2 linked regions of the Caenorhabditis elegans genome follow. The protein of the gene in region 1 purifies or fractionates together with the protein of each later gene. This does not show direct contact. Each region holds a gene or a part of one and is shown in the gene's direction. Other genes may lie near its edges.

Evidence for each region. Proteins that work in one complex are often made in the same cells at the same time.
Region 2: the proteins of ugt-61 (region 1) and cbs-2 fractionate together in Caenorhabditis elegans (co-fractionation; one large-scale study listed by BioGRID). This does not show direct contact.

What each region holds. Positions count from the first base shown.
Region 1 is NC_003283.11:4,740,890-4,745,922, forward strand, and holds ugt-61 (UDP-glucuronosyltransferase), read left to right. Parts: upstream 1-1,565; 5' UTR 1,566-1,630; coding exon 1,631-1,720; intron 1,721-1,828; coding exon 1,829-1,949; intron 1,950-2,250; coding exon 2,251-2,698; intron 2,699-2,744; coding exon 2,745-2,838; intron 2,839-3,274; coding exon 3,275-3,385; intron 3,386-3,434; coding exon 3,435-3,713; intron 3,714-3,899; coding exon 3,900-4,066; intron 4,067-4,130; coding exon 4,131-4,413; 3' UTR 4,414-4,484; downstream 4,485-5,033. Other genes in the region: gtnt-28 (Glycosyltransferase family 92 protein), read left to right, coding at 1-248; gtnt-11 (Glycosyltransferase family 92 protein), read left to right, coding at 4,680-4,834, 4,972-5,033.
Region 2 is NC_003280.10:2,219,847-2,225,185, reverse strand, and holds cbs-2 (Putative cystathionine beta-synthase cbs-2), read left to right. Parts: upstream 1-1,618; 5' UTR 1,619-1,645; coding exon 1,646-1,763; intron 1,764-1,809; coding exon 1,810-1,877; intron 1,878-2,472; coding exon 2,473-3,275; intron 3,276-3,319; coding exon 3,320-3,426; intron 3,427-3,619; coding exon 3,620-4,071; intron 4,072-4,115; coding exon 4,116-4,507; intron 4,508-4,553; exon of another isoform or gene 4,554-4,673; coding exon 4,674-4,722; 3' UTR 4,723-4,790; downstream 4,791-5,339. Other genes in the region: F54A3.5 (MICOS complex subunit Mic10), read left to right, coding at 528-701; Y59C2A.3 (Trichohyalin), read left to right, coding at 5,276-5,339.

The sequences.
Region 1 (5,033 bases):
AGAAGCCTTACAGTCTATTCACTTCTTACCCAAACCTGCACATCAAACGAATCCAAAAGACACTTCGAAAAGTGTTCGGCTCATCGATACCACCTTACAACTCAACATACCTACACGTTTTGAATCAGTGTATCACGAAAATAGTTGGAGAGGGAAAGTGTAGGAGTACGGTAGAGTACTGTAAGCAGTGGATGGAACCATTGACGGATTGGGTGTACGATACGACTGAAGGCATTTTTGTAGTTTAACCTAAATTTTAGTTTGATAATAAATAGTTGTTATAAATACTAATCTATTTTGGCGGCCGACATCTCACAAGCTTGTGCCAGCGAGATGTCGGTGGCTTTTCTTTTAACTACTGTGTTTACAGGCAGGTCTAAAAGCACACGTTGTTATTCCGAGTGGGTCTTGCCACGATCTCAGTCCTACTGATCAAGTGCCAAATTTTACTCATATGTTCATTTGATGAAAAAAAAAGAAATTTATGAAGCTTCAAATTCTAAAGAGCCTATATTTTAGTTTCTTAAAATAATTTTGTAGTGGAAAATAAAAAGGTGCATAAACGCGCCAATTTGCCACAATTTCTCAACCAACTTTAGACAACTTTCAGCAGTTTTCAGTGTGAATTTTGTACAGCCCCTCAATCAAGGGCTATCCTCAACTTTTGCTAAACTTTGGCATCTCTGGATTGGCCCAGAAGCTCTAATATACTTACCACGTGATGCCAGAGTGTCTCATTTTGGCTTGATCTACGTAGATCTACAAAAAAATGCGGGAGAAGAGACGCAGAGTTTTTAATTGATTTTGCATGGTTAAGAACTGCTAACGTCACATATTTTTTGAGTAAAACATTCCCGCATTTTTTGTAGATCAAACGGTGATGGGACAACCTGGTACCACGTGACTGAATGAAGCGTTTAGCAGTTGGTCAGATCCCAAAATTTGATCACAATAAAATTGTCCTTTTAAGAACAAAAATCTGTACCGAATAAGTACAGTTTGTCACACACCACAACTTTGTCTCGCTTACTACGTCTCTTCGTTCCCAAGAACTTCTGGTCAATTTAATTTCATGATAGAAGTTTAATGATGTTGGTTGAGTTTCACCTGAATTACAAAATAAATAAATAAAAATCTAATATACTAGTTGGACTACAAAGGAAAATTTACCAAAATTACCAAGCTTTACTTTTTTAGATCCAAAATGGCCCAAATCTACCGAATTTTGTAAAAAAACGTTCTGAAAATTTTTCAGGAAAAAATCGTATTTTCAGTATAAAAACCCAAGTCTCAGATTTTGGCACTCTCTTTAAACCTAACCTTAAACCTAACTAAACCTAACTTTCCAATATGATAATCTAAAATCCTTGAAAGAACTTTGGTACAACTTGCATCATTAAAGTTATCTGGCCAACGATCGAAAGTCCAGTCATATTTACTTCTACACATAAACCACAAATCACTATAGACCACAGTTTTCTATTTCTCTTGCTGCGTCTCTATTGTCTAACATTAAAAAAGGCTGTCTCTTCTCTCCAGACGCAGATTGCCCAACATTTTTGTGTTTACCCAGGTACTGCAGGTGTATAAAAGAACATCTATTTGATCTCAGTTTCCGTTATTTCCAACAATGAGAGTATTGTCGGTTTTTCTGGTATTAGTGGGAGTAGTTTCAGCATACAAATTTGTTTTATTTGTCCCAAATGTAGCTAACAGTCAGGTTAGTTTCACTTGATTTTTTAGTTATTGTTTTAATTCGGAAATGTAAATTTTCAAAGTACCAAAATTCAGTAGAAACCGATTTTATCAAGCGAAAAAATGTATTTAGATTCAATTCAACGCTAGAGTAGCCGAGGTTCTTGCAATTGGAGGTCATGACGTAACTATGCTAATGGTGAACCATATGGCTGGATTTGAGTCAAACGTAAAAGTACCGAAAGGTGTTAAAAGTGAGTTGATATTTGGCATACGACAAGTCGGAGAATAATTAATAACCTTTTATATGGTGCTAAAATAATCAACTAATATAATAAAACTTGTCAAAAATTGTTGGAAAGTGTTTATGTTGTTTCAAAAAGCAGTGAAAATGCATATTTGACTTATTTTATTGTATTGGTACGAGCATGCAACAATGCTTTAAATTCCTCAAAAAGACCACATTTGTGGCAATAAAAAGGAATAAGTTGCTAGTAATACATGTTAAAGTACTGAAACTTTGTGTTAGTGCTTTGTATCAAAACTTTCTTCCAGCCTATCAACTCGACGCTGCTGTTGAAGGAATCACAAAGCAATCCATCGAAAAAGAACAATCAGCCATGTTATACAAGAACATGGGGCTTAAGGATATGCCTCAAATGATGGCAATGTTCAGTCGAATGGGAAAGCTACTTCAAGATGGATGCCGAATCATTCTTCGCAACAAGGAATTCTTGAAATGGCTGGAAGATGAGAAATTTGATGTCGCATACACTCATATTTACTCTACGTGCCCACTTGGATTAATTCATCACGCCAAAATTCCGTCTTGGGTCTGGCTTAACAGTGGTCCACTAATGGATTATGTATCACAGGCAGTTGGAGTTCCGATTCTTCCCAGCTATGTACCGCCCGTATTGATGGCATCTCATGATGAAATGGGTTTTGTTCAAAGAACAAAAAGTTTTATCGGTCATGTGCTAATGAGTGTTATGCACAGAAGGTATGAATTGAGCCAGGATTTTGAAAAAAAAATCTAAAAATTTCAGAATCTCATCCGACGAGGAGACAGCAATCTTCCGAAAGGAATTGAATGATCCGAGTTTTCCTCATACCATGGATATTGGAGCCAAATGCCCACTGGTAAGTGATATGGTCAGCTTCTCGAACAAACATAAAAAGTGGCAAACCATAAGCATTTTTTGCTATAATTGCACCTATTTTGTATTGAAGTTAAATAAGAAATTTGGTAGTTGCGTTAGAACAAAAGTTCAGATTTTTGAAAAACTTGGCAATATGCCAAAAGTTTAGCTGAAAACTTCAAAAAATCGAAATTTTTTAGGAGTGTTAACGTAAATATATTTAGGCTAAAACATCACGGACGACAGTTTAACTTCAAAGACTTTCATCTTTGTAAATATCAACCAAGTTGCCGGTTGCCGAAAAATTGCCGAAGTTTCGGCAACCAAATGTTGCCGGTTGCCGATTTTTTTTTGGGTCCGGCAACTTCGGCAATTGCCGGTTGCCGAAAATCTTGGTTGCCGCACAGTCCTGATACCTAAATAACTACTTTTTCCAGGTAATTGTAAACAGCAATGAACTCTACGATCTACCACGTCCCACTTTGGCCAAAGTGATAAATATTGGAGGGCTTGGTGTCGGATTTGACAGTGCTAAACCATTGACTGGAGTAAGTCCACTTTTAAAATCAACATGTCTCAGCATGTTCAATTTTCCAGGAGTTCAAGAAAATCTCTGAAACTGGAAATGGGCTTATTGTCTTCTCATTTGGCTCAGTGGCAGCTGCCCATGAAATGCCCTTGGCTTGGAAAAACTCGCTTTTGGAAGCTTTTGCATCTCTACCAGACTACCAGTTTGTCATGAGATATGAAGGAGATGATCTGAAGGATAGATTGCCGGAAAATGTGCATTTGTCGAAGTGGCTTCCACAGAAGGATCTACTGTTGCACGAGAAGACAAAAGCGTTTATTACTCATGGAGGGTACAATTCTTTGCAGGTATGTGCATTTTGTTAACCCTGTGATCTGTAACTGTAATATTAAAGTTTCTGCTAATTGACTGTTTTTTTGTTTAACGTTTTTTCTAATTTCATTCAGTTGTGAAATTTCACTTAAATTTTTATCAAGAAATTGCAAGACATGCCTGTAAACTATCAGCAAAAATTTTAAAATTCATTCTTCCAGGAAGCAATATCCGCCGGAGTCCCCCTTATCACTATTGCTCTCATGGGCGATCAGCCCAAAAACTCCCAAATCGCCAAGAAACATGGATTTGCTGTGAACATTGAAAAAGGAACAATTTCCAAGGAAACGGTCGTTGAAGCTCTTAGAGAAATTTTGGAGAATGATAGGTTGGTTTTCCGAAATTTATTTTCAATTTTATTTTCAACAACAATGTCAATATCTAACTTTCAGCTACAAACAAAAAGTAACCCGGCTCTCCGCGATGGTTCGAGCTCAACCAATGAAGCCGGCTGAACGTCTTCTGAAATGGTCAGAGTTTCTTGCGGAATTCAAGACACTTGACAACCTGGTGCCAGCTGGACAGAAGCTTAACTTTTATCAATATCATTCTCTTGATGTAATCGGCTTCTTGTTCCTAGTAGTTTTAGTTGTATTCTACATTGGCTTCCTTATTCTGAAAGCAGTTTTCAGAAAATGTTGCCGTAGAAGAGAGACTAAAACTAAGAACGATTGATTGAAGGTCTGATTTTGAAGAAAAAAAAGCCATTTCGATATTCGGGTTTATTGAATAAATATATCAACTTCAACTTATTGATATCAATAATTTAAAAAAAAATTATTAAAAAACATTTCAAAATTCATACACATTTAAAAATCAACTTTCTATTTAAAACTAACGTTTTCAACTCATACAATATTCAAAACCCTTATTATTATTTCCTTTGTTCTGGGTTTTAGCTCCTTTTTTCAACACTCTTCTCTGAGCTCCTCAAATTTCAAATGATTTCCATTTTGCGAAAACTATTTAAATTTCTTATATTGATTACGTCTTTGTTTTTATTTACAAGATTAATTTGCAATTTTTATCAAGTTGAAAACAAAAATGTGAATACTTTTCCAATAGTGTTTTACAAAGATGCATACGTGGATCTCAGGTGAAATTTTGAAACTGATTAAAAAATTTATAGTGATCGGTTTTTTTTTTAAATTTAAAGAACTTTTTTTTTTGAAAATCTTAAAACATTATGATCTTCATGGACATACTATAAACTTGAATTCAATTTTTTCTCAGAATGTCTCCTCCAAAACTTCGAGTATTTTCCCTAAATCACTGCCTTATCAATGGAAGCTTTT
Region 2 (5,339 bases), on another chromosome or scaffold:
ATTTATCGATTTTTTGCTAGTTTTCAATGAAAAATCGATAATTTATTGATTTTTCACTCTTTTTCCGATAAAAATAGTTTTATTATTGATTTTTCAGTGGCAATTTTCAAAAAATCGCAATTAAAATGTCCTTTTTGTGATACTTTTTGAAAAAATCGATACTTTATTGATTTTTCAACAAAAAAATTGATAAATCATTGATTTTTCGCTATTTTAAACGAAAAATCAATAAATTATCGATTTTTCATTGAAAAATAGCAAAAAATCAATGATTTATCGATTTTTCAATGGAAAATTGTTGAAAAATCGATAAAAATATCGAATTTCAGTCGATTTTTCACAATTTTCCGGTGATTTTTCGCGATTTCCACATTTTTCCGTCAAATTTCCTTTTTTTTTCTAAAAAAAAACGTAGAAAATCTATAAAAATTGATTTTTCAAAAAAAAAAAATTTCTTCGAAAAATGTTAATTTTCAGCCGAATTTTCTCGATTTTCCCCCGAAAAAAAAAAGCTCATTTTTTTGCAGAGCCGCTCGTGGCCAATTTGGTTTGGATCAGGCGTCGGTTTGGGCACCGGATGGTCGAATTGCCGTCACGATTTCGCTTCGCCGTACGTTTTGCACGGAAAACGTGTTCCAGCTGGACAGGATTCGCAAGGAAAACCGGCATACAATATTATCACCGAACAACACAAGCAATAGAGAAAAGAAGAGATAAATTTTCGATTTTTTTGAGATTTTTTTGAATTTCCGCCCGCCACCCCGCTTTTTTTTGTTCTCTCTTGTGTCGAAAAATAGGAAAATGTGTGAATAAACTTATGAAAAAATATCGATTTTTTCGGATTTTCACATGGAAAACGGAACATTTTCAGATTTTCAGATTCAAATTCGAAATCCCCGCAAAATTTTGAGCTGAAAATTTAGGATTTGACTAAGAAAATAGCGAGGAATTCGAATTTCGCATTAAAAATGCACAGAAATTATTCGGAGCTCTCAAAAAATGAGCAAATTTTCAGAAAACGGAACAAAAATTTTGAATTTTGACGGGTTAACCGAAAATTTGAAAATTGCAGTTTTCTATAAGAAAAAAAATCGGGAAATGGATGGAAAAGACAGATTTTTCATTTTTACATCAAAAATTTAAGAAAATTCTGTTTAAAACTGCTAAAAACCGATTTCTTTGCAAAACCCTGTTAAAATATGATTATTTCCAATTTTCGAGCTCAAATTCGAGTTCCCCACAAAATTTCAGGCCAAAACCCGAAAACTAGAGGTTTCTAGTTCAATTTTGAATTTTCCCGGATTACGGTAGCGCCAAAAGTACGCAAACACCGACTACCAGTACTTCTACAGTACCCCTATATTTCTAAACCCCTGCAAATCTTTAAAATACGCCTGAAATCCATGAAAATTATAAAAATTCGGCTGAAAATTGTGAAAATATCCATATCACGTGTAATTTAAATAAAAGAAATCAATGAAAATTTAATTTAATTTTAAATTGATGACGTGTAAATGATCTTTCAAAAAAGAAGAAAATTTCCGTATGACCTCCCGTGTTATTGTTTTCCACATCCTTATCTCGTGAATTTGATCAGTTTGGAAATCAATCAATAATCAGTTTCAACTTTTTGCCCGACTGGAGGATGTGCCTGCCTACCATTAAAGCATTCAAGACAATTCTGGACGCCGGGAGCCACCGAGCAACTCAACTGGTGCCGTTGAAGAAGCTGAAGGCCGAGTTTCAGCTGAAAAGTGATATTTGTGAGTTTCTATGTTTCAGAAAAATCTGAAAATTTCCAATTTTCAGATGTCAAACTCGAATATCTCAACATCTCCGGGTCGCTGGAAGATCGTGCGGCTCACCGAGCATTTGAGGTGAGAAAACGGAGAACAATTGGGAAATGTCAATTCAAAATTCGAATTCCTTGCAAAATTTCAGTCTGGGACTGCAGAAACTAGCTGAAAATCGCTTCATTTTGAAGAATTTCCAGCTTCGACCGCGACGCGGCCGCAACGCGCGGAAAAATTGCCGAATTTCTGGTTTTTAACCGAATCTGGTCGATATGGGGTTTAAAATTTAGCAAATTTTGCGGGAAATTCGAATTTTTTAGTTAAAATTTTCCACATTTCCGGGAATAGTCACAAAATTATAGGTGTCAGTTAAAATTTTTGGTCACAATGGACTAAAAATAATTTTTACCAATTTTCGCTGCTAAATTCGAATTTATCTTAAAATTTCAGTCGGAAAATCGAAAACTAGAGGTTTCTAGCTCAATTTTGAAATTTCTCGGGGTACGGTAGCGCCAAAAGTACGCAAACACCGAATTTCACGCGATTTTCGAGTTTTGAGCTGAAAATTGAGTTTTAGACTCAGAAAATGGCGAGGAATTCGAATTTGATAATAAAAAATCCCAGAAAGTAATCTAAAATCTCAAAAACAAATTTTTTTAATTGATTTTTTCTTTTTCAGATGTCCAACGGAATCCAACGAGGCGACGAGGTCTACGTGACCGCCGGCGGATCATCTGCAGTCTCCTATGCCACCGTGGCAGCCGTCAAGGGGGTCAGACTAACCGCCCACGCACCTCCCGGAGCATTCGACCAGGTCAGGACGATTCTGAGCACTTTGGGAACCAAGATCGTGGAGCTCCCGGTTTCAAACTTCCGAGAAGCTCGGCTCCAGGCTGATCTACTGGCCAAGCGTCGAGGTGTCTACAATCTTGATGGGATCTGCGAGAAAGCCGCGTTTCTGGCGAATCTTGAAGGAACTGCACCGGAGATTGAGAAGGCTGGGAAGACCAGTGCAGTTGTGGTACCCCTGGATGCTGGTGGAGCTTCAGCGGCAGCAGGGATCGCTGCTTACTTCTTAAAGGATCAGAAGACAACAGTGGTCGGAGTGAGATCTTCAGCTTCAGCTTCAGCTTCAGCTCCAGCTCCAGAAACAGAAGTTCTTCTGCAGAAGTACAAGGTGGAAATCCGAGATGCTCCTGAATCCTACACCTTCACCAGACACCTCATCGAGACGGAAGGGATCATGGCTGGACCATCTTCCGGAGCGGCAGTGCTGGAAGCCATCAAACTCGCCAAGGATCTTCCAGCCGGGTCAGTGGTCGTGGTGGTTCTGATGGATGGAATCAGGGACTATCTAGATGCTGATTGGATGAAGGTGAACGGCAAGAAGCCTATCAAGCCTCGTGAGATCTTCGACCCGAAGGTGCTGGACTACGATCCGACGAAGATGGTCGGGGAGTGGAAGAGTTCCAGCAAGTTCAGGTAGGTTATAGGATCTGAGATTTAGCAGAAAATTTGATTTTCAGGCCGGAAAGACCACTGGTTCTCGACTCAGTCCTCGATGCGATCGGCAAGACGCCACTGGTGAAGCTTCAGCACGTTCCGAAGGCTCATGGAGTCAGGTGCAATGTTTGTGAGTTGGGAATTCCTCTGTCCGGTCTAGTCTAGTCTAGTCTAGTCTAGGCTAGTCTAGTCTAGTCTAGTCTAGCCTAGCCTAGTCTAGTCTAGTCTAGTCTAGTCTAGTCTAGTCTAGTCTAGTCTAGTCTAGTCTAGTCTAGTCTGGCCTGGCCTGGTCTGCCAAAAATCCTCATCTTGGACAATTTCAGATGTCAAATGCGAGTTCCTCAACGCGGGCGGCTCCACCAAAGATCGAATCGCTAAGAAAATGGTCGAAATTGCTGAGAAAACCGGCAAACCCGGAGCACTCACCCCCGGAGCCACCACCCTCATCGAGCCCACCTCTGGCAACACCGGGATCGGCCTATCCCTGGTCGCGGCGGTCCGTGGCTACAAATGCCTGATCACGATGCCTGAGAAGATGTCCAAGGAGAAGTCGACGACGCTGTCGGTGCTAGGATCCACGATTGTCCGGACTCCCAACGAGGCGGCCTTCAACAGCCCGAGCTCTCACATCGGAGTGGCTCTTCGCTTGAAGCATGAGATTCCGGGTGCGGTGATTCTCGATCAGTACTGTAATCCGGGGAATCCACTGGCACACTATGAGGAGACTGCGGAGGAGATTTTGTGGGATATGGGGGATCGGAAGATTGATCTAGTGGTGAGTAGGAACTTCGGATCAAGCTTCAACTGTTACTCTTACAGGTCCTTGGCGCAGGAACCGGTGGTACCATCACCGGAATCTCTCGGAAGATCCACGAGCGCCGTCCCAACGCGATCGTCGTCGGCGTTGACCCGAATGGATCAATCCTGACCGGCCCGACGACTGGACCCGCTCCAGATTTCTACGAGGTTGAAGGGATCGGCTACGACTTCATCCCGGGGACCCTGGACGAAAAATCAGTAGATTCCTGGCTAAAATCTGATGATAAGGAGTCATTCCTGATGGCTCGAGAGATCATCAGAACCGAGGGGATCTTGTGTGGAGGATCGTCGGGATGCGCGGTGCATTACGCGTTGGAGCAGTGCCGGAAGCTGGATCTGCCGGAGGATGCGAATGTCGTTGTGCTGCTTCCAGACGGGATTCGGAATTATCTGTGAGTTGTCTGGGCCTGGGGCCTACAAAATTAGGCCCAGCTTGCTTTGAGGTCTATTTGCTGTTTGATCTCTGAAAATTGCGGGAAACCTATAGTTTTTGTCGTTTTTAGAGGTCAAAATACTACTCTGTAGCCCCGAAAGCCAAGCTTAAACATAATTTTTCAGCACCAAATTCCTCGACGACGACTGGATGAAAGCCCGCGGCTTCTTGTAAATTGTGACCTAAAAAAATACTTGAAATTGGAATTATGAACTGAATTTTTGACATGAATGAAGATTTTTCTCTTTTTAACCGAGTGCAATCGCGCTCCATTGATATTTTTCCAGATAATTGGGCTTTTTTCCCGAGTTTTTTGAGATATAACCGATTTTTCATTAAAATCGATGAATTTTAGTGGTTTTTGCATTAAAAATGACCGAAAATGCATTTTTCCAGCAATTCGCCCTGTAAAATTAGTGAAAATATGGATTTTTCGTCATATTCCCTGCAAAATAGACAACAGAAGCCATAATTCAAATAACAGAAGCCATATTCGCCGTCCAGCTCAATCGCGCTCCACCGCACCACACTCAAATCCCCCTGCCACCCCGGCACGCGAAGGGGGCCCGGACAATGAGACACCCTGCACACTTACTCTCGCCGCCTCTCGCTCTCTCCGCTCTCGCATTTTCTATTGATTTTCCTCTTGTTTCCTCGAATTTTTTAGTATTCTAGAGCAGAATTTGGTGTTTTAAATCAATTTTTTTATATTTTAGAGCTCGAAATTATGACTTCTCTCGTGTTTAATGACAAAATGATGGCGGAAGAGGGTATGATGGTTCCACAAGCGG